Cricetulus griseus: one gene and its partner. The protein of the gene in region 2 purifies or fractionates together with the protein of the main gene of each other region. This does not show direct contact. Links are inferred from orthologs where the notes say so. Each region holds a gene or a part of one and is shown on either strand. Other genes may lie near its edges.

The links.
Region 1: the proteins of Kifbp (region 2) and Kif14 purify together in Homo sapiens (affinity purification with mass spectrometry; 3 studies listed by BioGRID and IntAct, counting the BioPlex papers as one, with this or other methods). This does not show direct contact. The link is inferred for Cricetulus griseus from reciprocal best matches to the Homo sapiens genes KIFBP and KIF14.

What each region holds. Positions count from the first base shown.
Region 1 is NC_048598.1:52,728,839-52,745,306, forward strand, and holds the end of Kif14 (kinesin-like protein KIF14), read right to left. Parts: intron 14,653-16,468; coding exon 14,485-14,652; intron 13,269-14,484; coding exon 13,149-13,268; intron 10,930-13,148; coding exon 10,855-10,929; intron 9,569-10,854; coding exon 9,436-9,568; intron 9,013-9,435; coding exon 8,639-9,012; 3' UTR 6,721-8,638; downstream 1-6,720. UniProt on the Homo sapiens protein: Microtubule motor protein that binds to microtubules with high affinity through each tubulin heterodimer and has an ATPase activity. Plays a role in many processes like cell division, cytokinesis and also in cell proliferation and apoptosis.
Region 2 is NW_023276806.1:274,631,352-274,647,374, reverse strand, and holds the end of Kifbp (KIF-binding protein), read right to left. Parts: intron 13,871-16,023; coding exon 13,786-13,870; intron 12,213-13,785; coding exon 12,097-12,212; intron 9,119-12,096; coding exon 8,243-9,118; 3' UTR 7,521-8,242; downstream 1-7,520. UniProt on the Homo sapiens protein: Activator of KIF1B plus-end-directed microtubule motor activity. Required for organization of axonal microtubules, and axonal outgrowth and maintenance during peripheral and central nervous system development.

The DNA of each region.
Region 1 (16,468 bases), on a different chromosome or scaffold from region 2:
CCCACCCTTCTTCTTGGTCACATGAACATATTGTAGTTCAGGGTGTAGATCTGGAATGGGTTACCACCGAGGCATTCTTGTGGTTTTGTTTTTTTTTTTTTTTTTCATGCTGGCTTTTGGAGAATCAGTGGTAGCCCAACACATAAGAATTCCACCATGCCCAATTGACCATCAAGGTAAGTTACAGATGAGAGGTACATGTCATTCAACATTTACAGCTCCATGGTCTGCAAGCCACTCAAGCCTTTATAGCTCTGTGGTCTGCTTAGCTAGTCCTGCCTGGCAGAAGTCTTTGCCACAGGACCTAGGAAGGTGATGTCACTGAAGTGCATTGGTCCGTGTGTTATGTTTTACAGTACTTTTGCAGTATGGGGTGGGTTAACTTTTAGTTCTCCAACAAGGGACTAAAAGAACCCTCCAAGAAACCCCTGCCCTCAGCTGGGTCCACTCAGATGAAGAATGCAGCCACTGGACTGTGTGAATTGGGAAGTAAGCACATGACTCACATGGCTACAAATGGTTGTCCTGGCTCAGGAGTGTCCCTGCTGGTCCATGACTTCTGGAGAATACCAGTCACAGTCAAGCCAGGAGGGGACAGAGATGGGTCAGTGGTTAGGAGATCTGCCTGATCTTGTAGATGACCCAGGTTCAACTCCCAGCACCCACACGGTGACTCATAATTGTCTGCAACTTCAGTCTAATGCTCTCTTCTGGCCTCCAATGACAATGCACACATGTAGTGTATGGACATACATGCAGGTAAAACAAAACAAAACTTCCTAATTTTTAACACCAAAGTGACTGTTTTATGTCAATTTGACACAAGCTAAAGTCATCTGGGAGGATGGAATCTCAACTGAGATAATGTCTCCATAAGATCTGGCTGTAATGCATTTTCTTAATTACTGATTGATGGCGGAGAGCCCAGCCCACTGTGGGTGGGCCATCCCTGGGCTGGTGGTCCTAGGTTCTATAAGAAAACAGGTTGAGCCGGGCAGTGGTGAGCACGCCTTTAATCCCAGCACTCGGGAGGCAGAGGCAGGTGGATTTCTGTGAGTTCAAGACCAGCCTGGTCTACAAGAGCTAGTTCCAGGACAGCCTCCAAAGCCACAGAGAAATCCTGTCTTGAAAAAACCAAAAAAAAAAAAAAAAAAGAAAGAAAGAAAACAGGTTGAGTAAGCCATGGTGAGCAAGCCAGTAGGCAGTACCCTTCTGTGGCCTCTGCATTAGTTTCTGCCTCCAGGCTCCTGCTCTGTTTGAGTTCCTGTTCTGGGCTCCCTCAATAATGGACTACAATGAAGAATTGTAAGCCAAATAAACCCTTGCTTTTTGGTCATGGTGTTTCATCAGAGCAATAGAAACCTTAAGTAGGACAGTGACCAACATTTATCTCAATTATGACTCTTGTCTTTATTTTTTGTTTTTGGTCAAGGCTAATGGATTTCTTGTTTTTACTCTTTAACATTTTTGTACTTTTAATTGGCATATAATAATTGCATATAAACATTTAAAAATAAATAGTACCTGCTGGGAAGTGGTAGCACATGCCTTCAATTCCAGAACTCAGGAGGCAGGCAGATCTCTGTAGACCAGAACAGCTAGGGCTACACAGAGAAACCCTGTCTTGGAAAACCAAAACCAAAATCAATCATCAATCAAACAGAAAACAGAAGCAAGGAATTGAGAAAGCCCTAGGCAAAAGTGGCACCAGCTCAGCAGTGGGTCGCTCACTGTTCCAATGGTGACACCTGCAGGCAACTGCAAGCAACTGCAGAAGCTCTTGGGAAAACTCAGCATCCAGAGGTGTCACTGAACTCTCCTTGGGCCAGCTGCCACACCCAGCCCAATAAAGTAGATAGGTGCATTAGTCAGGGTTTTCTAGAGGAACCACTGTTAGAATAAGTCTACATATAAAGGGGATTTTGTTGAGTAGCTTTCAGGTTGTGGTCGGGCTAGTCCAACAATGACTGTCTTCTGACAGACAGGCCAAGAATCTGATAGTGATCCAGTCTCCAAAGTTGGGTGTGTTGGTTGATCTTCAGTCTACACTGGAATCCTGAAGAAGTAGGCTCTAATGCCAGGGAAGGAAATGCCTCAGCAGCAGAGTAGATGAACTTACCAGCAAGAGCAGGACAAGAAGGCAAAAGGCAAAAGCGTCCTTCTTTTCATATACTTTATGCAGGGAGGCAGTCACCAGAAGATTTAGAGTAGGTCTTCTGACCTCAGATGATCTAGATTTAGGGTAGGTCTTCTCCTCACAGGTGAGCCCAGCTGCTTGGCTTTTAGTTGGTTCTAGATGTAGTCAAGTTGACAAGCAAGGATTAGTCATCACAATAATGTTGTAAAAGGCTTTGACGAAGGATTTCACGAGCCCAAGCTGGCCTTAACTCATGATGCTCCTGCCTCTGCTCCCAGTGCTGAAATTGTAGGCATGCGCCCGTGACCATGTCTGGGAAAGTGTTTTATATGTGGACTTTTTAATTGTGTGTGTGTGTGTGTGTGTGTGTGTGTGTGTGTGTGTGTGTGTGTGTGTGTACACATGCATGCATGTGCCCACAGAGGCCAGAGGGATCCCATCTCTGTGGAGCTGGAGTTACAGGTGGTTGGGAGGGGCTGACAATTGACTTCAGGACCTCTCTATAGCCCTTATGAAATGTTTTAAAATGTTCCTTATTGCTAAGGCAGTATTTTGCCCCAACGGACAAGCCTTTTGTAGACCATGAGGGTGGAACAAACAGGGCTCTGCAGCTGAGTGGAACCAGAGCTAGTGTCTGTGTGAACCCCCCCCCCCTTTTTTCTTGAGAGCTGTCCTACGAAGAGAGCCTTAGTGCCACCTCTGTTCTAGTTCTTGTCATTCAGACCATACATCTGGACAGCAGGATGAATTGAAAATGTCAGCGAACTAAGTCATGCACACATCCATTTGTCATGTGTGGCAAGAATCGGGAAACATGCTCATTCTTTCAAAGACTTGTGGTGTAAATGAGAAAAAGTCCCTCTTAAGCTCAGGCATTTGAACACCTAGCCCCCAGTGGGCGGTGCTGCTTGGGGAGGTTAAGGAGCCTTTGGGAGGTGGGGCCTTGCTGGAGGCTGACTTTGAGAGTATAGCCTTGTCTTGCTTGCAGTTGGCTGTCTCTGCCTTGTGGTGAAGATGGGATCCCTCAGCTTTTTGGCCTGGCTGCCTGCTACACCTCCCCTATTACACACGCTCCCTATGAAACTAAGCCCAAATAAATGCTTTATTTTGGGGGGCTGGAGAGATGGTTCAGTGGTTAAGAGCGTTGGCTGCTCTTCCAGAGGACCTGGGTTCAATTTCCAGCACCCATATGGCAGCTTACAACTGTCTCTAACTCCAGTTCTAGGGGATCTGGCACCCATGGAAAACAACAATGCACATAGAATAATGATAAATAAACTCTTTACTTTTTAAGTTGTCTTTGACTGTGGTATTTCATCACAGCAACAGAAAAGTAACCAACACACAAAGGTTTTCTATCTGATGGGGGCAGAACACATATTAAAATGAGTATCCTAACATTGCAATCTCTTTTGAACAGGATCAGGTGCTCTGTAACTATAAGCAAACCCCAATTAAGTGCTTTCTTCTATAAGATTGCCTTGGTCATGGTGTCTCTTCTCAGAAATAGAACACTAAGACAGTACCTAACTGACACGATTGTTTTAAAGATTACCTGAGTTGATGTAGGCTGTTACTTACTAGTGATATGAGTAAGTGATGTTTAATGAGAGATTGCTGTCATTGTTTTATGCTGTAGTCCATGGTTTTGTTTTTTTTGTTGTTGTTTTTTTTTGTTTGTTTGTTTTCCAAGATCCCTCATGGAAGCCCAGAACCATGAATAATATCAAACCCTATACGTGTATAGATATTACATATATAACAAATGTATTTTATAACTACCCATACCTGTGCTAAAGTAACATAAATTAGGCACATTAAGAGATGAATAGTAGTAAATAATAACAAAATGTGACAATGTTAACAATATATCCTATGAGAGTCAAGACAAATACTAACCCTGTCAGAGAGAGTTGTCTGGAACTGCAGAAGGGGGACTAATATGGAATGAAGCTATGGACCACTTGAGAGTCACCAGAACATTCTTCCTCTGCCTAGTCAGAAGCTGCCACATAATCTTATCACTTGGAGTGGGGGGAAAGGTCAAAAGGCTGGAGAGATGGTTCAGTGGTTAAAAACACTGGCTGCTCTTCCAAAGGACCCAGATTTGATTCCCAGCACTCACATGGCAGCTCATAACTATCTATGACTCTAGCTCTAGGGAATCTGATGCCCTCTTCTGGTTTCCAAAGGCACCAGACATACGTGCAGTACACAGACACACAGTACACAGGCAAATCATCCATACATATTAAAAAAAAAGCACAATGTGTCCCCTTTCCAGTCCCCACTGGACATTCACTGGGGGCTGCCTTTGTGTCTTCTGTACCCCTGTTCTTCTGCCCAGACACTGTTTCTGCTTGCTTCCAGAGCCTTGCAGGAGCCATGAAGAGGTGATACACTGACCGTTGCTTTGTTTAATAAACATCAGGGTCAAGAATGAGACCCTGAGAAAGCAGCTCTGAGCAGTGAAAGCTGATGGCCACAGGCTTCCAGAGGCCGCACTCCTGCATATTTATTGACCTGAAAGGCAGCAGAATGAGCCTGTTTTGCTTTATGTGCAAAACTTTACTCTCGGGCCAATTTTCTGGTGCCCCCAATGACATATTACAAAATGAAATAGAAGTATCAACAACGGTACTTTATTCCTGGAATACATCTTCCAAGAGCTCCAGATATCTGCCACGTTGACCTTTCCCTGCCTGAACCCAGGCTGTCACCAATGTTAAATTACTTTCTAAATCAGAGGTAAACTTTACATCATAAAATACCATTCATAGCCACATCAATCCAGCCTGAGATCTGCATTGCTCTCTCGACCTAGACTCCTAGATATCCACAATTCACAGATTGACCAGCTTTGCTCTATCAATATGCCTCACCCAATGGGGTATCACGCTAATAGATTACTGGAGCTGCCGCCCACCACATTGATGTATAAGAGCAATACATTAGGAAAGCCCCCACTCACCTGGATGATGGATTGGGGCAATGGTCCTCTCAGGAAAGCGTGCTGGTGATGTATGGCCCATAAGGGCACCAACTGGGAAAGAATAAGTTCAAAGTGGGTTCAGTTTAGCTTGTAGAGACAAAGAGAAGCAACCTAGGTCCACCAGGACCTACCAAGCCCCATGTTTACAGGCAAGAAGGCAGCTGCTCACACACAAAGGCCTGCACTCAGACACCCCTGCCTGAGGCATGAGTGTTCATGACTACTGTCAAAGTCCTGGAGCTTGAATTGAAGCAGGCACAAGGATGCTTTTACTCTGTTGACATGTGATACATTTTATAATAAAATTACTAAAGGGAATTGCACAAGGATGTCATTTTGGAAACCGTTAACTGCTCCTAGTTTCTTTTCTATGATGAAACACCCCGACAAAAGCCAACTTAAAGGAGACAGCTTATTCGGCTACCTTTAGGCTACAGTCCATCATTGCGGATAAGTCAAGGCTGCAGGAACCGGAAGCAGCTATTCATTTGTTCCCAGTCAAGAGCAGAGAACAATGAATTAATGCACATGTTAGAGCTTAGTTCACTTTCTCCATCTTATACAGTTCAGAATCCTCTGCCAGGGACTAGTGCCACCTCAACTAAATGTACTCAAGACAACCCCCCACAGACATGTCCACAGGCCAACCTGACCTAGATAATCCCTTAGTGAGAGTCCATTCCCAGGAGACTCTAAATGTGCCACCTTGAAAATTAAAACTAACCATCACATTACAATATTGAGCAGATTGGGCAACTGCAGTATACACACACCAAAAGATACGTGAAGATGATGTAAACACTATAGAATTCACTGTCTTTATATTATATCAGTTATTGTGGAACCCAGTGCAGGTGGATATACTTTTAAACACACCATGCTTCAAGGACTCTGATACTCGTACACTGGCATCTGCTTGTACCAAGTGTGGTATTGCTTATTTGTTTTTTGAGACAGGGTTTCTTTGCATAGCCCTGGCTCTCCTGGAACTCACTCTATAGACCATGCTGGCCTCGAACTCAGAGATCTACCTGCCTCTACCTCCCAAGTGCTGGACTAAAGGCGTGTGCCACCGCATCCACCATGATCTTGTTTGTATAACACGGTTTTGCAGCTAGCTACGGAAGGGCAGCTAACATTTGCTTATCACCTACTACTGGCCAAGAGCCATTCTTCCTCTCTCCCACTTAGTGACTACAGACACAGTCCATGGGACTTTTCCTTCTGCAGATGAGGAACCAGGGATGAGGCAGCTAGCTCCTTGAGGTTGTGTAGCCTGTATTGCAGCCTGCAATGCAGCTTTCAAATATGTAAAAAACAAGCACAGCTTCCAAGCACTTGCTCAACAGGGAAGTAAGGCTCTTCCATGCTCAACCAACTCAAGAGGGTGGAACAGTGTTCCACCTGGATTCAGTCCTTGGCTCCCAAAGTGGCACAGTAACCACAATAATTTTAGCATTCGTTTACTGCTTCCTATTTATTCGATTTGCAAATTAGGAGAGATATTAGCCAGGCAGAGCTACTGTGACATTTCTGAATCAGGAGTAAAGGGAATGACAATAATTCAATAAAAAGATTTTGGACTAGGAGGCAATTCTGAAGCTCACAAGATTTATTAAAGCACTCTCTTTATAACACTTTTCAGTGCACATGATTCTAACAGCGACATATTTACACCATTCACTCAAATACAGTATAACAAATTATCCGGCATAAATATAAATAAGCTTACAAGCATACCTGAAACATTTCTGAGGACAGACATGAGTTTAGAGAATAGACACTAGTGTGGTTTGGGGTGTGCACTATAACCCCGGCACTTAGGAGGTGAAGGCAGCAAGATAACAGGGATAGGCCACACTGGGCTACCCAGCAGGACCATGTCTCAAAGACAGAAAAAACTGAGGGAGAAGGGATGGAGAAACTGAAGATTAACTGCTGTGCAGCAAGGTGAAATCTCCGGCTAATTATGGTAAATTGGTGAGTTCGAGGAAGTACAACCTTCAGGACAGGTCTTTCTGTGTACTTCAGTTTGTCAAATAGTAACATAAGGGCTACTTTCCAGAACACTGACCCATCCACAGTGAACCTCAGAAAGAAAACGTGGCAAAAATAAAAGAAGGCAATGGAAACAAATCTCTTGCGTTGCTACATGAGACAGGAGTGGTGCACCCAGGGAGGCCTGGTGACCACACTTTACCACTTCAAAGCACCACAAGCAGACGTGTCACTGCCTGGCTGACCACCCCAGGCTACTTTACAGTCTTTCCCCCAGAGAAAATGACAGGTGTACTCAAACCGGCTTCACCCAGCTACAATTAATGTAGCATTGACAAGTAGCACCCACAAGCGAAAGAGAATCTCTCCAGGAGCTGCTTAGGTCACCCAGGCAAAGATACTATGTATCTTCGTAAATTACACATATTCTTTTTTTTTTTTTTACGATTTATTTATTATGTATATTTACTTATTATTATGTTCTGCCTGCATGTACACCTATAGGCCACCAGATCTCATTGTAGATGGTTGTGAGCCACCATGTAGTTGCTGGGAATTGAACGCAGGACCTCTGGAAGAGCAGCCAGCGTTCTTAACCACTGAACCATCTCTCCAGCCCAAATTATACATATTCTTGTGGTCAAAATGTTAAACTATTTCCTTAAGTTAAACCCTAAAGTAGGATATTATCTTTATTACTTGATTGTAGGTGAAGGAGTTTTTAAAGCTGTGAAATACAAGGATCTTTAATCTCCATTGAACAACATGTAAACAAATTTCCCTTTGGCAAAACAAGCACTATCAAAAAAAGGGCCAGCCTCTGATCCCCCATGTGATGCTATTTTAAAATTTTATGAATATAGCCCCATTATGGAACATAGATAACACCATAAATTATAATGCTATCTAGTCATAGTATGTAATTATATTATCTTTAGGTGGTTACGGCTTGAAAAGACACAGATTATACATTTATTACTGAAGGTGGCAAACAGTTAACCATTCGAAAGAGTTGCAGTAAGCTGCCTTAGTTAAACTTGTGTTGAGAATTTCACCATAAGCCTAATCTTCTATGCAATATATGGGGGAAAGAAACAAACTTTTCAGATTTCCATTCATGAGAAAATACACATCTACAAACAGACTAATGAACCAGTCAGGACAGTATCTCAGTGTTCAAGGTTGGCGTTTAGAATTCAAGGCAACGGGAAATTGGAGACACAGTCACTCACGTGGTCCTGAGACCCTAATTTCATTCTAATGCCACTGTTCCAACATGGTAAACTCCTTGTTTGAAAGTAGTCTGCTTAGAAAATTCTGAGCACACACCAAGGCATTTTGAAATCAGGACTCCATACTGCTGGCATTACCCACACCTGACAGGAAGCTATGCATAGACACAGACTCTAAACATTTGCATCCATTTCTTTGTATGGTCTCCTATGTGAGGAAAAGTGTCAGCAAGCGTTCTTTCTGGTTATGAACGGTCACCAGGAGCATATGTGATGGTTTCACACCCACTGGATCCTATTGGGAGTGCAGTCCTGTGAGGACACTTCGGGGGCTACTGGGTCTCTGGGTAGTTCCCAGGCCTGTGTTGGCAAGCCTCTACTGCAGTCAGCCCCGCTTGCCTCACGCTGCTCTTCCTTGCTGTTTTGATTACAAGACTCCTGGGGTTGCAACAAACCAGGTCTTTCTCCACATTCAAAACACAAGAGGAGTGATTTGGCTAGAGATTCTAGTTCTCCATAATCAGCCCGAGGTACTTTATTCCCACAGTTGCCAGCAGAAGCAGGGGGCTCAGTGAAGTCACTGTGAAGTTTGTGAGCCAGGCCGCAGAGAGTTTCAGTATAGCTTCTGAGACAATGCAGGTCACTGGGGCACCCTACACAAGAGGGAAAGGAAAAAGTGGGTTACCCTTTCCAGGTGCCAGCAGGTATTACCATTGCATAGACTCTAGGGGTCTCTTAAGTTAAAGCAGCCCACATGACACACCAAACCACTGATTGCCTCTTGGACAGGTACTCGACTTCCCTGACTGTACAGGCGGAAGTGCAGCCTTGTGTTACGCAGCACTTCACAGCCCAAGCTCCTACACTGGTAACTAATCTCACTGGAGTAATGTTCAGTGAGCTTTAGTTATAGCTCAGGCTGCAAGAGGGAGAGAGAGAGAGAGAGAGAGAGAGAGAGAGAGAGAGAGAGAGGGGGGAGGGAGGGAGGGGGAGGGAGGGAGGGAGGGAGACAGACAGACATGTGTGGGTCCTTGGATTACACAGTTCCAGTTCCAGATCCCACTTGGGTCACTTACCTCTCAGTGCAGATGTAATAATCTCAATAGTTTTCTCCAAGCAATATTTTAACTTCAAGAATTCTGATGCAAGAGTTAACATCTTGGAACCTTGTTGTCTAGAATTTTCTTGTACTTGAGTTCTGAAGCTTTTCTGTATAAACAAAATTTATATTTAAAAATATAGATATTATAGATTACATGGCAGCAAATTTAGTCAAAATGATCTTAATTGCCCAGAAATTTATCATTTGTTTGTTTATGCTATTATGACAATGAAACTACATTAATAACAAATTATATTGAAAATGTTTAATTTCCTCACCAGTGTATAACTTCATTTCTATAAGCAAGATAAAAATACAAAATGAACACTGATTATTATTATTATTATTATTATTATTATTATTTTATTTTTTTGGTTTTTCAAGACAGAGTTTCTCTGTGGCTTTGGAGGCTGTTGTGGAACTAGCTCTTGTAGACCAGGTTGGTCTCCAACTCCAGAGATCCACCTGCCTCTGCCTCCCTGAGTGCTGGGACTAAAGGCATGCGTGACCAACGCCCGGCTGAACACTGATTACTTTTTTTTTGACATGATGCTTATGAGTATTTAAATTTTTTTGTTCATTGTTTTTTCATTTCAGATTTTTTATTTGAATTAGAAACAAGATTGTTTTACATGTCAATCCCAGTTCCCTTCTCCCTCCCGTCCTCCCCTACCACCCCCCCAACTAAAACCCTACCTATCACATATCCTTTCTTCTATTCTTCCCCTGACTCAAGCTTTCTGCTCCCTCATGACCTCTGCATCCTTCCTCTTCTTCCCTTCTCATTCTCATAGCTCCCTCCCCCCTCTTCCTGTGCTCTCAATTTGCTCACACTGATTACTTTTAAAAAGCAGTAAGAATTTACTAGCACATAGGAACAGAATGAAGCAACAGCGCCATGGTACCCAACACCATAAAAGCTAACATTTAACCTCAAAGAATTCAGTTTCACAGGATTTACTTTCAATATTGACTTTACTTAAATACTCTTTGGCTTGGGCATTACTTTCCTTTCCAGGCCTGATTATCCCCTCTATCCTTTTCTATAAAGTGGATCTGTGACATGACACTACTTGAATTTAACTCTATTTGACACTATTTGAGCACATTAATTATAAAAAGTGGTTTTTTAGCCTATAATGACTATACTCAAGAAAAAGCTGGCAGCCCCTATGCCAGTAACTACAAACCAGGTGATGCACTGGGAAGTTCCTGTGCCATCGTGTACCTATTACTAACACGAGTGCAGTAAGACCACCAAAAGGAAACCTAGGAAACACACGTGCTCTGTTAACATGCACAACATAGCTGTCTCCAGCTATGACGCCAAGGAAACAAAAAGATCTACAACTGAAGCAAATGTGAACAAAAATTGACTGAAAGCCCATCTTACTAGTCTCCATTCAGCAAAGATGTTTGCCAGAGACCTGACCAGTTCCACAGCATTAGCCTTCATCCGCCTGGTGACCTACAGAAAATGTTAAAATATTTTGTTATACAAACAGTCATCAAGAGACATATCATTTTTAGACCTGTGTGAGACCAGACAGAGTTCTAATCTAGAATCCATAAGAGATGGAAGTTCCATCTCTGAGCTAAGCAGAAAATGGCTTTGAGACTACTTAAATCATGCGAATGGAATTTCCTTCGAAATAAATGACATTGATTCCATATCAAAAAAGCCACACTTGGGCTCAGCAGAGGCAGTCACTTGCTGCATAAGCCTGTGGACCTAAGGTTGATCCTGGAACTCCTCATTTAAGGTGGGAAGAGTGAATGAACTGACTTCTCAAAGTTGTGTTCTGATTGCCACATATATGTGATATGCAGGTCTCCACATGCACAATGCAATAATAATAATAACATAAACATGTTATAAACATATTTTATAAATTATAAATATAGTAAAATGTAAAATTGATTATAAATAAGATAAAACATAAATCTGATGTCTGCTACCAAAATGATGCCTGCATTTTATTTAAATATTTATAGGGATGAACGTCCCAAAATTTCCCTCAGAAGTGAGGGTGTGAGTTATTAAGCAAATATGCTCCGAGAACATTACAAGTTTGATCTGATTCTCAGTTACAACCTTATGCTGCCTATGGCATTTCCCATCTTGCAGACTGAGAATCAGATCCCGGACAGTAACCCCTAGCTCTCAGAAGCAGTGTGACTCAGACTAAACAATAAAGTTGCTTTCTGCTGCTCACTGTTGCCCCCGTCAGGTGGAACTAAGCTTCTGCAAGGGGATTCAGTGTTGTGTTTAATTGGCTTTCACTAAGCTCTTGTCTAGGTCAGCTCAAACTTGCTGTTACAGTAAGAAGATAAGTAGGCCATGGAGTGAGAGGCAGGGGGATTACTGAAAGGTTCAAGCCTGCCTGGACAACAAAGAAAGTTCCTGGCCAACCAGAACTACAAGGTAAGACTATCTCCCAAAAGAAGAAAAGAATGTAGGTATACCTAAATTCTTTACTTCAAGAACCCAGCTTTGAAGTCATAATTCCAGCCCTCTATTAGTCTACTTTCTATTTCTCTTACTATTTTTCTACTTCTTGGGTATTCCATTTTTTGCTATAGGTCCTTTTAAAAAGTATAATGTAATTCTGATTGTTATTTTATTTGTGTGTGTGCAAACACACATGAGGTCAGTGCCCACAGGCCAGAAGAGAGTGTGAGATCTTCTGGAGCTGGAGTGGAGGTGGCTGTGAGCTGCCTGAAGTGGGTGCAGAGATTCAAACCCACCTAATGAGTCACTGCTCCAGCCCCTGCCACAGGCTCTTACGACTTTTTTTTGTTTGTTTTTCAAGACAGGGTTTCTCTGTGCAACAGTCCTGGCTGTCCTAGAACTCACTCTGTAGACCAGGTTGGCCTCGAAACTCACAGAGATCCACCTGCCTCTGCCTCCCAAGTGCTGGAATTAAAAGCACGTGCCCAAACAAAAGAACAAAACACACAATCAAGAGAGGCAGACATATTCAGAGAATGCAAACGTACAATCGAGACCAGCAGTTTAGAATTTGCCAGCCACTGTTTCTAATATTTCTTTTTTTTAATTTTTAAAAGTTTTATTTTATGTGCATGGGTATTTTGCCTGTATGTATATCTGTGGACCACATACGTGGCTAATGCCCTCAGAGGGCAGAATAGGGCATCAGATCACCAGAAACTGGGGTTACAGACTGCTGTGAGCCACCATGTGGGTGCAGTCCTCTACGAGAACACTTGGGGTGTCTCTCCAGCCTCCACTCCTAGCATTGCTCGTGCTTCAGTGTCTGGAAGGAGGCAGAAGCACTTGGAGGACGTCACCGACATCTCCACTAGGTTCTGTGTCTATGTCTTGGTGTGAAACCACTGGTGTGAATGTTCCTGGAAAAATACTTAATTCAAGATGATTGGATCCATAAGTGATGGCTTCTGCTTTTAGGCAGAGGAGTAAAAAACCCAACAGAAAGATTGAGAAGGACGTCCAGAGAGTGGACAGTAGGTGTTGCTGCCACCCTCCATAGACCTGGTCTCTGCCTCTTCTTTAAAAACTAATTCAGCACAAATTAAAATACATAACATGTCACAATAGAACCCACTGCATCACACTATCATTTGGACATTTAAAGAAGTTTGGACAATATACATCCTAAAATAAAACCATTTTTAAGATCAAGTGTATCACCCCACCCATCTTACCTCCTCATGTGCACTCTGCCGTGAGAGGTTTCCCTCCAGGTCCTGGACTTTTTCCAGCCCAGAAGCTAAGAGGCTTTTTATCCCCAAGGCCATGCCATCCTGGAGGGCAGCTGTGAACTCCTGTTAGGAAAAGGGTCAGGCACTGAGCTGGTAAGCTCAGGTTTTACACATTAAAATTTGATTACATTGTGTGTACGTGTGAGAGAGAGACAGAGGCAGCGAGAGAGAGAGAGAGAGAGAGAGAGAGAGAGAGAGAGAGAGAGAGAGAGAGAGAGAGCGCACATGGGGGTCACAGGACAACTGGCAGGAGTTGCTTCTTTATTTCTACCATGTGGCTCTAAGGGATGGACTGAGGAATCAGGCTTGATGGCTAGCACCTTCACCACTACCCATCTCATGTACATACTCTTCAAAATTACATGGTAATGAAGATATAATTCATTCCCAGTTTATTAAATTCAGCTAAAGTTAGTATGAGAACAATCCATGAGGGAAATAAAACTAACAAAATTAAAATTAGTATTCCATGTGCTATGGAAAAAATGTCCACTTTAGGTAGGACCTTATTTGCTAGGATATAATACATTTTAATACAGTATTGCTTATAGCATAAACAAGGTGGGCAAATACAAATATTCTATAGTTACTGTTTTCCCCATGTATAAACTGGATGAGACCACGCTCCACAGTTGATAGCAGTCATCAAACCATAGAACAAAAGGAACATCTTTTGATGTTTTTGAGATTGGTCTCACTAGCCCAAGCTGTCCCTGTTCTTCGATCCTCAACCCCTAAGTGCTAGGCAAGCACCCTATCCCTAGCACCAAAAGGATTGTTTGCTTTCTGAGACAAGGTCTTGCTGTCCTGGAACTCACTATGTAGTTCAGGATGGCCTTGAACTTACAAAGATCCACCTGCCTCTGCCTTCTGAATGCTGGGACTAAAGGTGTGTGCCACCACTGCCTAGCTCTGAAAGGATTGTAAAGACCTATAATCATCCAATCATATTTTAATCATTTTTGTTTGTTTGAGAAAGGCACTCATGTAACCCAGGCTGGCCTCAATAGCCAAGAATGATCTTGTCCTTCTGATCTTCCTGTCTGCCTCCTAAGGCTGGACTACAAATGTGTACTACCACATCCTTTATATAGTGCTAGAGCTCAAACTCATGCATGCTATGCAAAATACCAACGGAGGTACATCCCAGACTTATTTTATCTAATGTTGACCAAACTATTAAGTCATTGCCAAACTATTGCAAGTACAATGAACTTATTCTGTGCAGTGATGCTATCAGAAATCTCTAATGTCCCCGCAGAAGTCTTTTAGAGCTTACATTAGACATTACCCGGGCGCCAGGAATCTTGCTGCTATTCTCCAGAAGACAAAGCTTGCTCCCTTTCAAAACGGCTAGCTGACCCACACACTGAGCAGCTTGCTGTATAATCTGGACGACTTTGTTTTGAGCCTCTTGTATCATTGATGAAATATCTGAACAGCACCCCTAATGAAATAAAAATCAATCAGTCAGTATATACATATATGAGATTTTTAAGAGGTGAGAAAGAAAAAAGGGATAGTGGGTGAAGCTAGCAAGCATGAGGGGCTGCCCTTAAGGCCCCAATACCAGCTAAAAATAACAACAGAGCTGGAGAGAGCTCAGTAGACTAAGGGTACTGACTGCTCTTCCGGAGGACCAAGGTTTGATTCCTAGCACCCACAATAGGTAGTTCACAATCTTCTGGAACTGAAGTTCCAGAGGATCTGACACCCCCTTCTGTGCTCTGAGGGCAACAGGCACATATGTGGAACACAGGCATGCATGCAAGGAAATTCCATACACATCAAAATAAAATTCATAATGTAACAACCACTGGAATGCACGTGAGAAACTGAAAGCATGCAGCCCTGAAGTTACTCATGAAGAAGAGCCAGCTTCTTCCTCCCTCAAAGACTTGACACAGTAAAGGGAGATGTAAAGCAAGTAACTTTGTACTTGGAAATGTCAGGACCCAAGACAGGATTGGTAAGGAAATGTCAGGAAGAGGAACAAAATGGTGTGACTTTGGCCTTTCAGCTTTAACTGTCCTGTTAACACCTAAATGACAGCCTTCCCATATGCGCTCAGTGCCCAGGCCTCCAAGGCACAGGAACATTCTTCTTTCTGGTCCTCTCTCCTGTGGCTCTGACAGTGCCCGCCTTGACCTGCTATATGGAAGACACTCATTATACCACTACAAGGTGCCAAGCCACACATTACTAGATAAGTATGCTGGCTAGCACTGGCTTCACACGAGTCTTCCTGAGCCCAATCCCAGTCACCCGGGTCTCCAGCCTTCATTCCTTGTATAGAATGTGTCTCACAAGCATGTGTGTTGAAACTCTTAAGTCAAGTTCAAAGCCTTCTTCCCGGAAAATAAAGAAAAGGAAAGAAATTCCATGGTACAGACTCCACCAGATATATTCTCTCTCTCTCTCTCTCTCTCTCTCTCTCTCTCTCTCTCTCTCTCTCATCAATTTTTCTTTTCTTCGTCCTTTTTTTCATTTTTTTTCTTTTGAGCAGAGTATCTCTCATGGCTGTCTTGGAACTCGCTCTGTAGAACAGTCTGGCCTTGAAATCAGAGATATGCCTGCCTCTCAGGTACTCTCTTATACCATGATTTCATCTGATAATCACAGCAACCCTGCCAGGTAGACATTACTGTTTTTATTTTCAGGTAAGAAAATGGAGAGACTCAAGAAGCTAAGCAATTTGCCTAAAGACACAAATTAACATAGCATAGATTTAAACATGGGATTTCAAATATCAACAATGAGTTCCTAGTTTGTGGGTATATTCCGCTCCCCCCTCCCATACACTACACACAAGCTGCCCCTCTTTCATTTCTACTACAGGCTGTCCTGAGCTACATTCCTTCACCATACATACACACACACACTCTTAAACTACCCCTTTCATTTCTACCACAGACCATCCTGAGCTGTATTCCTTCGTTAGGGTTTAACCTAAGTCATACCCTCATTACAGAATGAGAGCTTTGCTCTCTGACCAACCCCATGCTTCCATGTTCATGGCTCTATGCTGTCAGATCTTCTTCACCTGAAGTCTGCCCACCTCTGTCTGTAGTCCACATGTTACATTCCTCTCTTTCCCTGATGTCCATATTCAAAGTAAGCCTTCATTTGATGTGAATTTAAGATTCATTTAACAGCAAATGTCCAACTAGCTTGCTATTACATCAAGAGGCCTTGTGAAAAGACACATGAGTCCTACACCTACAGAAAGCCAATGTCGCCGAAGCACACATGCTTATCAACAG
Region 2 (16,023 bases):
TCCTGCCTCAGTTTCCCAAGTGTTGGGATTTCATATGTGTACCGCCATACCTGGCCAGTAACCTCCTATTATATATTGCTCATATATTTTGATCATGTTTTACCCCTCCCCCAAATCTTCCCAGACCCTCCCCACCTCTTGTTCTTTCCTCTTTCTCTCTCAAAAACAAAAAAACAAAAACAAAACAAAACCCACAACCCAATAGGACAAAAAAAAAAAAAAGACAAAAAGTACACACACACACACAAATGGAGTCCTTTTGGAGTTGTCTAACTACTCCTGAGCATAGCGTCTGCTCTGGAGAGTGGCTGATATACACAGTGACACTCTACTGGAGAAAACTGCTTTTTCCTTTTCCAGCAGGGGTCAATGCAAACAGCTTCTTGGTTAGGGGTGGGACTTTTGTGTTCTTTCCCCTTTTCATTGCTATCATTTGTCTGGTTTGAACCTGTGCAGGGCTTGCGTGCTGCCATAATCTCTGAGAGGTCATACGTGCATCACTCCTGTTGTGTCTGCGAGAGTCTGTTTCCTTGGAGTCAATCCACCACCTCTGGCTCTTACAATCTTCCTGCTGCCTCTTCTGCATAACTCACTGAGCCCTGAGGCAGGGGTTTAGTGCCCATTCAGGACTGGGCCCTAAAAAGTCTCCCACACGGTCCATTTGCCTTCTTCCATAGCCAGCCATCCAGTTTGAACAGCACCATTTGCTGCAGATACTTTTTTTTTCTCCAGTATTTATTTTTGGCTTGTCAAAAATCAAGCATGTGCCAGGTGGTGGTAGAGCACGCCTTTAATCCCCCAGCACTCGAGAGGCAGAGGCAGGTGGATCTCTGTGAGTTTGAGGCCAGCCTGATCTATAGAGCAAGTTCCAAGACAGCCAGGGCTGTTAACACAAGAGAAAACCTGTTTCAAAATAAAAAAATAAAAAAGTTCTTTGTCTTGAAATGTTTCCATTATTTCATTAAACTGTTAGGTTGTGGGGTTTTTTGTTGTTGTTGTTTTGTTTTGTTTTTTTGAGACAGGAGCTTGGTAGCCTTGGCTGTCCTGGAACTTGCTATGTAAACCAAGACAGCCTCAAACGCATAGGGTACATTGTAAGACCCTGTGTTAAAAACAGAATAGAAAGAGATCTGTTTTCTCTATAAACATAAAGTAACTAGTATAGCCAGTGGAGAAAGGGTAAATGAGACAGTTCAGAAGGGAGAGAGACAGCTCGGAGCTGACATGAGTTTGTGGGTGGCTGCTGTGGGGCATGTAACATGCTCTGGTGCAGGCCTCACCATTTTCATTATTTATTTATTTATATTAATTTTATTGGGACAGATTTCCCTGTGTAGCTTGCTCTGCAGACCAGGCTGGCCTTGTACTCTCGGTGAAGCTGTGGATGGCCTTTCGTTTCTGCACGGCCTGTCTTCAGTTCCCAAGTGCTAGGATTACAGGTGTGTGCCTTCTTGACCTGACGTGGTGGTGCACGCTAGGCAAGTACTCTGCCAACTGAGCTACAGTCCCGGCTTCAGAGGCCTCTCACACCTTATCAGCAGATGCTCAGGGTGGGGGTGGGGTGGGGGATGGGTGGGGGTGTCTCTATAAGTTCGAGATCAGCCTGGTCCTACAGAGCTAGTCCCAGGACAGTCATAGCTACACAAGGAAACCCTGTCTCAAAAAATAAAAACAAACAAAAAAAGAGTGACTTAAAAAAAGAAAAAACAAGTAAACAAATTTCAAGTCAGAGCATTTGAACATATCTTTAGATTTAGTAAACATACCTTGTTGAATTTACACGCCAAATCTATTATTTTTACATATGTAGAAAAATGCCATAATGAAACACATTACTTTGTATGCTTAAAATATTATTTATTTATTTATTTATTGGTTTTTCGAGACAGGGTTTCTCTGTGTAGCTTTGGAGCCTATCCTGGCACTCGCTCTGGAGACCAGGCTGGCCTTGAACATACAGAGATCCGCCTGCCTCTGATGGGATTAAAGGCGTGCGCCACCAACGCCCGGCGAATTACTTAACTTTTTACAACTTGGGGCTTTGATACATCTTCAACGAGTAAAATTCAGGCTATTTTCTGACAAGCTGGGAGTCACTTCCCTTAATGTGTAAGTGGGGAGGGAGTTAAATCTTATGAGCACCATATTAAAAAAGAAATGAATGATAAATTGCATAGAAGCAGAGTTCATGTTTCTTTAGTTATTATATAGAAGGACAGCAGGTCCTTAAACATAAAGCCACCCCTGTCACACACACACACACACACACACACACACACACACACACACACACACACACACCAGCAGCAGCAGCAGCAGGAGACAGAGCGCATTATTTGGTTTTCCCTGTTAAGACTTTCCACTGTTGTGCCTGCCTCCCTCCCCCCCACTCTGGTTTTTCAATAAAGGGTGTCTCTGTGTAGCTCTGGCTGTTCTGGAACTAGCTCTGTAGACCAGGCTGGCCTCAAACCTAGAGATCGCCTGCCTCTACCTCCTGAGTGCTGGGATTAGAGGCATGCCATTTTCTGAGTCTCTGAAGAACTGCTCTTGGGTGACTAGATCAGAGATGACTGATAGTGACAAATCTGTTGATAACAGGAAAGACAAAGACACCAGGAACCCCAAGTGAGACACTGAGAAGGAAGCCAGCCAGAGCTCTGCACTGATAGAGCTGGAGACAGCGGCTGCAGGTCACAGCACATTCAGCAGCTCACCACACCCAGCAGGCACCTCAGGTTTCTTAACTGTACTTTTCAGCCCCAGTTTTACATAGAACATTATATAACCTTGTCATTTCCTGTAGATAAAAATGTAATATTGGGTCATGACCTTCCTGAGAAAGGGAAGGGCCTGAAGAGTCTAGCTGGATTAAACGGTTACATGCACGCTAACTGTGCGGCCAAATGCAACCTTGAGCTCCTGTTCTTCCCGCCTCGGGTCTCTCAAGTGCTGGGATGTAGGTGTGTGCACTGGGTCTGTGCAGTGCTGGGATGGAATGAAGACCTTGTGCACAGTAGGTTTCAGGATACTTTCTTTTTTTATTTTTTTATTTTTTGAGACAGGGTTTCTCTGTGGCTTTGGAGGCTGTCCTGGAATTAGCTCTTGTAGACCAGGCTGGTCTAGAACTCACAGAGATCCAACTGCCTCTGCCTCCCAAGTGCTGGGGTTAAAGGCCTGTGCCACCACTGTCCGGCCTCAGGATACTTTCTTAAAACTGTTTTCCTATCCCAGATTTTATCAAAATCTACTAAAAGGGCCTGGAGGTACAGTACAATGGTGGGCACAGTGCTTAATGCACAGAAAGTTCTAACACGTCAAACAAATGATGAAAAATAATTTTAGCTGGGTGTGGTGGTACATACATACCTTTAATTCCACTCAGGAGGCAGGCACAGCTCTGTGAGTTTGAGGCCAACATGGTCTACATAGTGAATTTTGGGACAGCTTGAGCTACATTACATATTGAGACCCTGTCTCAATAAAACAAAGCAAAACAAAACAAAAAAAAAAAAGAAAAGAAAAGAAAAGAAAAAAGGTAATTTTAAAAACAAAAGAGGTGAAGATATCGGGGCTCTTTTTTTTTCTCCCTTGTTCAGAGCCTCTCTCTCTGGCTGGTAGGATGACCAAAAGGCCCATCTGTGTACCAATGTTTACAATGCAAATGTATTACAGGGTGCCAATGGCATGTTTATAATTTAGCACTTGGGAGGATGAGACAGGAGGATTGGCATGCATTCAAAGTCACAGCATCCATTGTGAGGCCAAGTGAACTACCTCCTGTTGAGGACAATAGCAAAAGAAAAGCAGCATTCCCAAAACTTGGGAGGCAGAGGCAGGTGGATCTTTGTGAGTTCAAGGACAGCCTGGTCTACACAGTAAGTTCCAAGACAGCCAGGACTATAGAGAGACCCTGTCTCAAACAACCAAAACAAAAACAAACAACAACAAAAACCCACCATCAACAACAAAAAAGTAAACAACAACAAAAAACAAAAAACAAGGGTTGGAAAGATGACTCAGCCATTAAAGGCTAAAAATAAGCAAAAAAAAAAAAAAAAAAAAAAAAAAAAAAAAAAAAAAAAAGACAAACAAATGCATCCATATGTACTGGGTCATTTAAAAATATTATTGCTGTCCAAACAACTGAGGGTTCTGTTTTTACAGTTCAAGATTAGAAACTGTTTCTTTCTTTCTTTTTTTCTTGGTTTTTCGAGACAGGGTTTCTCTGTGTAGCTTTGGAGCCTATCCTGGCACTCGCTCTGGAGACCAGGCTGGCCTCGAACTCACAGAGATCCGCCTGCCTCTGCCTCCCGAGTGCTGGGATTAAAGGCGTGGGCCACCAACGCCTGGCCTTAGAAACTGTTTCTGATAAATGAGCACATCCTCAAAGTGGCTACAGAAAGACTGTCAACTCTGGAACAGCTACTTAGAAACAAAACTGGTAACTGAAAACCTTTGTATAGTTATAATTCGGTTTGGATAAGGTGGCGTTCTAGGCCAATTTTCCTTCTTTTCATTTCTACCTGACTTGGTAGCTTGTGAAGAATTTTAGTCACGGTGCTTACAGTCCATTCGCACTATATTGCCAGAACCCACTAGCTTCGTTTTCTAAGAAATACAGGGTTCAACTAGACCTGCCTCTCAATGAGTGCTCAACTTTTATAGTAAATGAATGTACAGTTTTAAAGCCCATAACCCCATGGTCTTTGCTATCTGCTCTGTAATGTCGTACAAAGGGCCCCCTGCTTTGTGAGCAGAACATCTGAAACAGTACTCTCCAGGGAAGCAGAGCGCCTGGAGAAGATGTGTGCCAGGAGTAAGTGAACACGGCGCTGAGATTTCTGCTGATAACCAAAGTCTTAAAGCCTGAAAAGCCACAGAGAGCAAGTGACAAAGAGCAGGGTATGTTGATGTCGACAGAGATGAAGACCAGTTTTATGGTCACTGCCTGTTCTGCTTGGTGTTTGTACCCTTCGAGATCCAGTTAACACTGCCTGAGAGAAGAAAGGCAAAGACAAAAGCCATTGAGTTTGAGCATATTCTCCAAGTGTAGCAGCACTCAAAGCTCCGCAGGTACTTTTTAAATGTATAAACACTGAAGTGAGGTCACGAAAATAACCGTACCAAGAAAGGCCTGGGGGTGGGGGGCACACTGGAGAGATGGCTCAGCAGTTAAGAGCACTTACTGCTCCTGCAGAGGACCCTTTGGTACCTAGAGCCCACATGGTGGCTCACAACCATCTATTATTCCAGTTCCAGGGTGTCTGACACCCTCTTCTGACTTCCGAGGACACCACACACATGTGCATAGACATGCATGAGCATCACTCATGAACATCATCATGCATGAAAGGAAGGCTTTCGACAGAGAGGGGCGAGTTCCCTGTCACATCTCTCCTCAACAAGTTGCCTGCCCTCTTTAGCTCCTTCGAGCTTCCTCCATTCCCTTTTAAGGATGGTCTTGTGAAAAACTATTGAAGAGCAGTTATTTCATCTCAGGCTTACCATCCTAAACTCAATATGACCTAAACAGAACTCTTGCTTCTAACCCCACATAAAATTACACTTCGCTTGTGTGCTTCCTCACTGTGGCTCCTGACTCTCCTCCCTCAGAAACCTCTGGCAGGGCCATGGCTTCTGCTTCTGCCCCATCACCCTGGTTCAAGCCACCTTGTCTCTGACTTGGATCAACTGTATCAACCCATTTCCCCCAGAAGCTAGTTTTTTACTCACTCCCTTTCTCTTTCAGAAGGGGTCTCATATAACCCAGGCTGGTCCCAAACTCAGAGGGCAGCTAAAAAAGACCTCAAACTTATGATTCTCCTGCCTCCACTTCCTCAGTACTGAGACTACAGGTGTGGAGCACAACATCTAGTTCATGTGGTGCTGGGATTGAACTCGGGACTCTGAGGAGTCTGGGCAAGCACTCTATCAACTAGGCCATGTTCCCAGACCATAAGAGCTGTTTTCTTAGAATTTCTAATCAGATTGGCCAGTCCTCATGCTAAAATTCCAGGAACCATTGCACCTAGAATAAAAAACAAACTGTCCCCAACCTGCATAGCTCCCTCCATCTGACTTCTGGTGTCTGCCCCTCCTAACCCACCCCTGGTTCAGGTCCATTCCTTCCACATCTTCTGAAGTGCCAGGCTCCTTTGCAAGCTTGTTCAGTCTAGCATCCCTGGAACACTCTAATAAAGACTATATGGGTTCTACTTCATTCACTTTTCCACTCTGGGTCTCTACATTGTCCAGGCCTTCCAAATCAGCACAGCTAAACAGCACTCCTTCCCACAAATGCTTGCATTAGCACTGTATTTTCCTCACTCAGCCCCAAGGTACCTTGCTTTCTGTTTATCGGCTCTGTGAGCACAGGGCCCTGTTCTGCTCACCCCAGCATTTCAAGCTAAGAAAATGAGGATAGAGCCTGATCCACATGCACTTTAGTGAAGACTGGTGAAATTCTAACTGAATCCTACACACTGACTGCTATGCAAAGATTTGTTCCCCGGCAACCCAATCTCAAAGGAAAAGCACAATGGTTATATAAACACACACCCATAAGAAGCATCATGGAAGGCCAGTGATGGGGGCGCACGCCTTTAATCCCAGCACCCGGGAGTCAGAGACAGGCGGATCTCTGTGAGTCTGAGGCCAGCCTGGTCTACAGAGAGCCTTCCAGGATAGCCAGGGATACACAGAGAAACCCTGTCTCTAAAAAACAAAAACCAAAAAAAGAAACATCATGAAATCTTAAGAGCTTTAGGACACAAATTAATAGGCAAGCAAATGCACATACAGGGCTATTTTCTATAGCAAATCTTACAATTGATCCGGACTGTGAGCCGATCCCCCTTCCCACCCTCCAGGATGCTGACAGTGCAAGCCAGGTCCTTGCCCATGCTAGGCAAGCACTCCGACCTCTCAGCCACACCCTTAGGCCTGAATTCTGCATTTCTTTAAATGACCAGCACATATGAACAGCAGTAATTTTGATGACAATTATGATGTGGTGTATAACTACAGCAGGACTCTTTGATGATAAACTATAGTCAGTAAGGTTTTCTATTTTATAATGTGCAACGTTATTAAAGAACTATTCTCTGAGGAAGGTGACTGAGGAAATGGGAGGGGGACAAGAGAAGATAACAGGAGCATGACTGAAATATATATGTATACAAAAATGTCAAAGTGATATCTATTACTGTGAATAATTAATATATACTAATAAAACATTAAAATATTATTCTTTGGCTCTGAATAAGCTAATTCCTTCAAGATGACAAAAATGAGGCCAATTTTTATAAGAAAATGGGTTGGAGAGATGGCTCAATGGCTAAGAGCACGGGCTCCTCTTTGGAGGCCCAGGGCTTACTTGGTTCCCAGTACCCATATAGCAGTAACAACTGCCTGTAATTCCAGTTTCAGGGAAATCGGATGCCCCCTGCTGGCCTCCATAGAAACTGCATATACATGACCCACAGACATCATATACACACAAAACATTCTTACAAGAAAAAAAGGGGTAATAGAAGTGTTTACTAGTTGAACAAGTAAATTTATTAGGTGCAAGGCTTTTCGTTCTATAATTAAGATACACCATTTTACAACTTTTCGACCCCCTGGAGACAGGGTTTCTCTGTGTAACAGTCCTGGCTGTCCTGGAACTCGCTTTGTAGACCAGGCTGGCCTTGAACTCACTGAGATCTGCCTGCCTCTGCCTCCCAAGTGCTGGGATTAAAGGTGTGCACCACCACTGCCCGGCGTTTTACAACATTTTTAATTAACTTAAATTTTTAGTATTTTTAAAAGGGAAAGATTTATTTAGGAGTTTGAGAAAGTATTTTACAAAGAATGACTATAGGTAGTAGCCTTCTCAAATTCATCATAGTAACAGGTTCTTCGACCAGGCACACTACCTGTGTTGTTTCTAGTGTGAAATCCAACAAGTACTAGTCAGCAGAGGACTTAACAGTTAGAAATCAAGGCAGGAAATGTTAATATTTAAACAGGAAAACAAGCGATCAAAATGCAAAACACCTGTCACTTAGCAAGGCAATTTACATAATTAGGTATAAATTATGAATTAACTATGTTGCTTAAGGTCCTAGCATTGACTTAGGTCCTGGCTGCATCTGACGTTCAAGCGCCTTCCTCTAGCTCCGGTGTTGAAGGCTACCATGGAGCCAGTCCTGGCTCATTATGGGGTGGAGGGGGAATTCAGGTTGTATGTTTCCTTCCCTTAAGTCAGGGCCATCTTTGTTCTGAACCTCTCCATTTTTGTTGGGAGAAGACTGACCATCTCTTTACTAAGTTCTAACTCAACTTCTATTTCCTGGGCAGCCTCGGGGTGAGTTTCACAGTAATCGACAATAAATTTGTAATGTTCCAAAGATGTGGCCAAATTTTCTAGCTCTTTCTTGGGGTCTGCAGTGATGATTCTGCCATAAAGACGAGCTACTCGGAACTTAGCCAACATGGCGGGGCGGAGAACGTCCTCCCCGATGTGCTCAGGAAACACTTTATTTGGGTCCCTCAGGGAGTCTAGGAAGAGCTGGTAGTACTTGAGTGCCGACTTATTCAGGCTATTTATTTTTTTCACAATGTGTGAGTCAGGATCCCTGAGCTTGTCTGCAATAGCAACCTTCAAATCCATCATGTCATAGTAAGTGTGTGCAATTTCAAACTGAATCTGCCTGTTGACCAACAGGTAATACTGTGGATTCAAGTCCACAATCAGGGGCTCTAGCATGGCTATTCTGCGCTTGTGCATCTTGCATCGCCTCTCCATGTCAGTCTCAAAGAATGCGAGCACCTTGAACAGAGCGCTGTGGTCCTGGACAACTTCAATATGGTCAGTAACATACCCATCAATCTGGAAGAATTCTTTTGCCTCAAACACATAGTGTTGACCCAGAAGGAAAAGTTCCCTGGCTTCTTCAAAATCTAACGGTCTCAAGTATCTCACTTTCTCCTCCACTGCAGAGATGGCATCACACAACTCGCCAGTTCCAAACTGTACAGCCCTTTTCCTGATGCTCTCCTCCTCATCAAGCTCTTTCTTCCTTAATGCTCTGAGTTCCGACTGTTTGTCAAGATCAAGTTCTCCAATGTTGTCCTAAAAGGAGAAATCATAGTTAAACAGGATACTCATCTGCTGTCAAATAAAACTGTAGAGTAAACCTCAGCTAGCTATGTGATAGAGCACTCCTGTAATCCCCCAGCATTCAGGAGGCAGAGGCAGGAAGATTGCAGAATGGAGACCAGCCTGGACTAAACAACATATTCCAAGCTGGCTGGCGATACACAGCAAGGCCCAGTCTCACAAAGAGTTGGCCCTGAAGAAATGGCTTTTTTGCAGAAGACCTAGTCAGTTCCCAGTACTCATGTGCTGTCTAATAAACACCCTTATATCCAATTCCAGAAAAGCCGATGCCCTGTTTTAGCCTCCATGGGCACCAGGAGCATCGTAGTACACAGACATGCAAAAACACTAATAAATGTAAGATATAATAATTAAATCTTAAAACAATCACAAAAACCTTACTCAAGAGGCAGAGGCAGGCAGACCTCTGCGAGTTCAAGGCCAGCCTGGTCTATACAGAAGGATCCGAACAGTCAACCTAAAAGTAAAATCTGACATTGGGCAGATGGCTCACATCTGTAGTTACAGTATTCTATGGCTAAGGCGGGAGAAGGCCACAAGTCTGGGGCCAGAGTGGGCTCCATAGTGAATTCCAGGCCAGGATATACTATATGGTGGTGTCTGCCACCAATCTTGACAACCTGAGTTTGAACCCTGTGACACACAAGAAGGGAACAAAGTCCTTCAAGCTGTCCTCTGACGCCCCCTCCATGCATGTACATATATGTACATATACACATCCAAAATAAATGAATTCACTAATTAACTGCATTAAATGAAAAAAAACCTAAATTAAACAAATAACGAAAATGCAACAAGGTTGAAGCAGGTTCTGTGACCTTTTCTGAACATGCTGAGCGACTGTTCTTCTATGGGGGGGACACTGTACTGGACCACTGAGGTCTTAATATTGTTTTCCCCAAGATTTATCTATTTTTACTTAAGTGTGTGTGTGTGTGTGTGTGTGTGTGTGTGTGTGTGTGTGTGAGAGAGAGAGAGAGAGAGAGAGAGAGAGAGAGAGAGAGAGAGAGAGACTGAGTGAGTGAGTGAGTGAGTGAGTGAGTGAGTGAGCTAGTGACTGCCATGTGTCCGGGCACCCATGGAACTCCAGGCTGGCTTTACCTCACAGCCTCTGAGTGCAAGGATTACACACATGTACCACCTATCTGGCACCAGACATCTTCTGATACTTTTTCTCTTCTCTTTTTCCCCACTGCACCCACATACTCCTCCCAAGTCTCTTGAGCCAAGGTCTCCTATAGGATAATCTGGTCTTGAACTTGTTATGAAGGCAAGGATAGTCCTGAACTATCTCCAAGTGCTAGGGTTACAGGCCTGCATGACAAGACTTCATTTATGCAGTGCTGGGGACGGAACCCATGACTTTGAGCATGCTAAGTAGACACACTACCACAGAATGTCTTGTCTTTACTTGCATTTTCCAAAAAGAAATCCCCTTTTCTCAAAATTTATGCTTCTGGATTTGTTATTTTTATAGCTTTATTAGCTCTATATTATTTACAATTATAATTATTTCAGTTTACACAAAGAGAAAAACAAAAGTACAGTAACAGGAAAGTTAATGTGTCTACAGGTAATTTATTTTATATTCCTTCTTTGTGTCTAGGAACAAGGGTCCCATGTAGATTAGTAAGAATGATGAAGATATAGTGAGGATTTAGTATATTTCAGATACTCTTCTTTCAAATTAGACTTATTTAGATGTGTGTGTGTGTGTGTTGTGTGTGTGTGTGTGTGTGTGTGTGTGTGTGTGTGTGTGTTATGTGTGTGTGTCTGTATGTGTACGCACACGAGGAGGTCAGAGGACAACTTGTAGGAGTTGATTCTTTTTTACTGTAATGTGGGTCCTGAGGAGCAAACTCTGACTTGGTGGCAAACACCTTTACCTGCTAAGCCAGCTCACCAGTCCTGCCTTAGACACTCAGACACTTTCTGAGGCCTTTACATATGTTAACTCTCACCACGACAGTACTAAGCAGGCACTACCATCTCTGTTTTGCTTATGAGGAAACGGAGGCAGAGAGACCAAAATACAAACAAAAAACAAACAAACAAACAAAACAAAAACAAAGACAAAAAACCTACCAGAACAGCCAGGCAGTGGTGGCTGGTTTTAATCCCAGCACTCAGGAGACAGAGGCAGAGGCAGGTGAATCTCTGAGTTCAAGGCCAGCCTGGTCTACAGAATGAGTTCCAGGACAGTCAGGGGCTATACACAGAGAAATTGTTTCGAAAAAGAAAAGGAAAGGAGGAAGGGAGGAAGGGAGGAAGGGAGGAAGGGAGGAAGGGAGGAAGGGAGGAAGGGAGGAAGGAAGGAAAAGACAACTACCAAAAACACACAGCTACAAAGTGGCAGAACTGGGCTCACATCAGAGCTCTGGAGCTAAGCTCCTTATTGTGGCTGGTCCTATATCTAAACTTAACCACTGCATTGGCTGTGTCTTGAACCTATAAGGTTTTGTCAGTCTGGAGGTTGAGGGAGGAGCTGGCTTAAACTATGAAGTGAGACTGTTAAAAATAAAAAAAATACAAATAGGGCTAGAGGTGGTTGTTTAGTCAGGAGACTGCTAGTCATGAAAGCATGAGGACCCAGATTGGATCCCTAGGACCCATACAAAAAAACTGAGCATGGTGGCAAGTACTTGTAATCCAGGTGCTGGTGAGGCAGAGACAGGCACATCCCAGGGGCTTGCTGGCCCACTAGGCAGCCTAAACTAATCACCTAGCTCCATGTCCAGTGAGAGACTATCTAAAAAAAACCAAGGTCATCCTCTGCTTTCCTTTGCATAGACAAGCTTATACGTGCACCCACATCTGTACATACAGGCACCTAAATATACACACCCACACAACTAAAACAACAACAAAACCCACCCACAGTGAGCCTGATGAGCCCCTCTGGAAGCTGAAGGTGACTTCAATGTGCATACCTGCATGGAGAGCTGGGCGCTCTGCATCAGAGTCAAGCAGTACTTGATCCAACATCTTGCTATTTCCCCTTTCCGTTGATGGTAAAGCTCTGGCACATCTCCTTCAGCTTCAGGAGCTGAAAGCACAGGCGGGCTGTAAGCATGGTCAGCGCTGTCTGCATGGTGCACTGTCCTCTGTTCTTTCACCTTTTCCTGACTACACAGCAGCAGACGCTCACTGAGCCATGAGGCACTCAGCGCAGTGAGGCTGCAGATCCTCCCTAGTTTTCTTAGGTTACGGTCAGGGTTAAGTAAAAACGAAGGTCACAACATATTTTTACTTTTGAATAGTTTTTTCTTCATATAGTATGTCGCGAAAATTCTGACCCTACCATTACCAACTCCTGAGCTTTATTTTTAACTCAATATTACACACAATCAAACAGGTATTTCCTATTCCAGGCATTCTTCTGGTAGAGAGAACATACTGTTTCCATCCAGATCTTCCCATTATGAACAATTCTAGGCTACAGATCCCTACACATACATCTATCTAGAGTCTGGACTGGTTCCTAGAAATGGAATTTACTAGGCCAAGCAGTTTGCACAATTTAAAATATTTTAAATAAAACTGCCAAATATTTTTGACAAATGCCATATCCAACAATATTTTTGTATGCTGACAGAAAGCATGTGGCAAACAATGGACACCGTCATTTCTCCCCCTTCTTCCCAACCTCCCCCAGCCTCTGTGCTTGCCTAGCGCACACAAGACCCTTGCTTCAGTCCCTAGCATCACACACACACAAAGAAGCAACCAAACAAAACCTTTGTAATTAAGAAAGACAGTGTGAGGAGACAGCCCTTATAAAAGTAGTATATTGACCAAAATGTCAATCATGGCAAAAGGAAACATCTCATAAACCCCAAGAAACAGGAATTCAATGTAGTAACCAGCAATAGCCTTCAAAACATTATGCGATGAAAGGGCAGGAGAACCTGAGGAACTGCCCCAATGACAAGAAGACTAAAGAGACAGCTGAAGGCAACATGCAGTCTTGAGCTGTATCATATAGTACATCACTATAAAGGACTTAGAGGACAACTGATGACAGAAATAGGCACTGCAGACAGAAGGACTGTCTTGGTGTTGCATTTCCTGAAGCTGCTAACTGTCTTATGAAAGAGAGAGAGGGAAGGAAAGAGAGAGAGGGAGAGAGAGGAAGAGAAAGAGAAAGAGAGAGAGAGAGAGAGAGAGAGAGAGAGAGAGAGAGAATGTGTGTGGGTGTGTGAATTCACAAATATTGAAAATGATGAATTTAAAGGAAGATATATTGTAATTCTGTTCTTACACTTTTCTAAAGCTTAAAACAGTTTCAAATTTGAGGGCTTCATAATTAAAAGCTCTTGCTGCTTTTGCAGAGCACCTGGTTCCATTCCCAGAACCCACACTGTGGCTCACAACCATCTAACTTCAGTTCTATGGAATAAGATACCCTCTTCTGATCTCTGCAGGCACCATGCACACAGGTGACACACATACACATAAAATCAATCAATCTAAAAAAAGAAAACTAAGTTTCCGAATTTCACATAGATCTGTAATTATATAGAAGCCAGGTATGTACACTTGTCATTGGCAGTCCTTAGAAAGCTAAGGTCAAGACTGTCACAGTGAGAAACTGTATCATGAAATGCACACCAACTTACTGTCTTCTGTAGCTGGGATTTTTCCAGTTTGACCAAAAATAACATTAGCAGCAGACAGACAATGTCTGGCCTCCATAAAGCAGAGCTGTTGGGAAAGAAGCAAGAACAAATGTAACTATGACAAAGCCTTGTTTACAATTAACAGTATCTACTAACATGGGGAACACTATACTGTCAGGAAAAGTACCCCACTAATGGGGCCCTGTAGTGTTGCCATGGACAGTATTATCTGGTAAAAAAGCTACCCCAGAGAATAAACTAACAATATCCCACACTCCTGATAAGAATCCAAGCTGATGGAAAGATGACTGGAGACTGACAGTCCACTCTCCTCCTGCAACCAGGAACATGGAGCAGCCTATACTCCAATTGCCTTACCACACACCAGGTTCAGTGTAAATAGGCAAAGCCCCATGCACAGTTCATTCTTAGACCATTTACATTCTGTCAGAGTACTGAGGACTCATTCCTGTCTTTTAAAACCTTTGGAGGGAGGTGGCAAGACAATGATGTTCCCTATCCGGTTTCCAGGTCAAAAGATTTCTACAAATGAACTTTTATGGAATGACTTTGTCAATACTCATGAAGAACTCAAGATGCAAATCCGGGCACAGAAAACTTCTCAAACACTTCAAGAACATCTCTGTGTCAAACACCAAAAACTTGTCATCTGTCATGCAAACTGCAGAATCACCCAACAGATTGAAGTTAAAGTCTACTTTCTGAATGGAAGCCGCCCTCATTAGAGAGAATGTCTGCTTCGTATCAGTAAGTCTGAAAGACTGATTTGGTTGGTAGAACTTCAACAGTCATACATCTTGCCTTCACACTGAATTCAGAGTTATTGTAAAGAATAGCTGGGTACCATAGGTATGAATAGGCTGCTGGCCTATCAAGTGTTGGTAGGAAATCCCCAATCATTAGACAGTTGCAGCTCACATGAAGAAACATTACTTGGCCCTCTACAGTGTCTCAACCATCATTACCACTCTGGCTCTGCCTAGATTGTTCCTATGAACAGCCATTGCTAAAGACAGAGACTGCCTTGTGCCCTGTGGGTAGGTGGTTAATGTGGGACTTGAAGAGCAGCAAAACTGCAACAGATGGAGTTGGTAACAATGCAAATAACATCACTTTCAAGCATAGTTCAAATCTCTCTTTTTGTGACAGAACTTAGCTGGTTGTGATATGGGGGAAAACAAACAAAAAAACAAAACAAAACCAAAAACAACAGGTGTGGGGTGCAGGAGAGATGCACAAAAATTACCGCATGTTCCACAGAAGTAATGTTTAACAACTTAAGGTCACATGTTCACGATCCAGACATTTCTGTACTATAAATATCCAAGGAGTTTTAGGTGTTAACTAAAACCATATTAGGGAAGGAGCCAGCAGAGGGGTCTCTCGATGGCCATGATGAAATGGAGTCACAGGAGTTGTTTGATTGAATGCAAAAAGACTACATGCTTGATCTTAGCAGCTAACAGGCTTAGTAAGGAAAAGGCTGAGGGGAAGGCAGCAGGCCACCAGAGGTGAAAGAAGGATGCTGACAGGCTGAGAACTACCAGACGTCAGAGCTGTGAATCAGAACTAAAAATCAGTCTGCTGCTGGGCATGGTGGCACAAGCCTTTAGTCACAGTATTTGGGAGGCAGAGGCAGGCAGACATCTTTGAGTTCCAGGCCACTCTGGTCTATATAGCAAGTTTCAGGCCAGCCAGGGATACACATCGATACCCTGCCTCCCAAAAAGAGTGGCGGTCTGTGTGTGTGTGGTCAGTGTTAGAAACTAAAGGACTGGAAAAGAAATGGGTGTACTCAAAATACAACACAATGAGAAGTGATCTGGACAAGTAGCTATAGAGTTCAAACTTGTCTCTTTGGGACAGTTCAGAAGTATGTCATAAACCTGGAACTCTAGCACTCAGCATGGATTCAACATCAAAAATGATTATTAGAGAGCAGCTAACTCTGAAAAGCAACTGAAACACATCACATGCTTTTATCAAAGCCCACATTTAACTGTCAACTTCCTCAGACAAATTCTCATAGTTGTAAGATTAGCATTACATGAAGATAAAGTTTTATCTGTAGCAAGATAAAAATCTGCAATTTAAGGTAACACATAGCAAAAGTGAAATGAAAAGGGTGCTAACAGCTGGACGGAACTGATGTTAGGTAACCTGTCATCTAGCAACACATAGGGGTATGACAAAATCAGCACTTTAAAGATTCAGGGG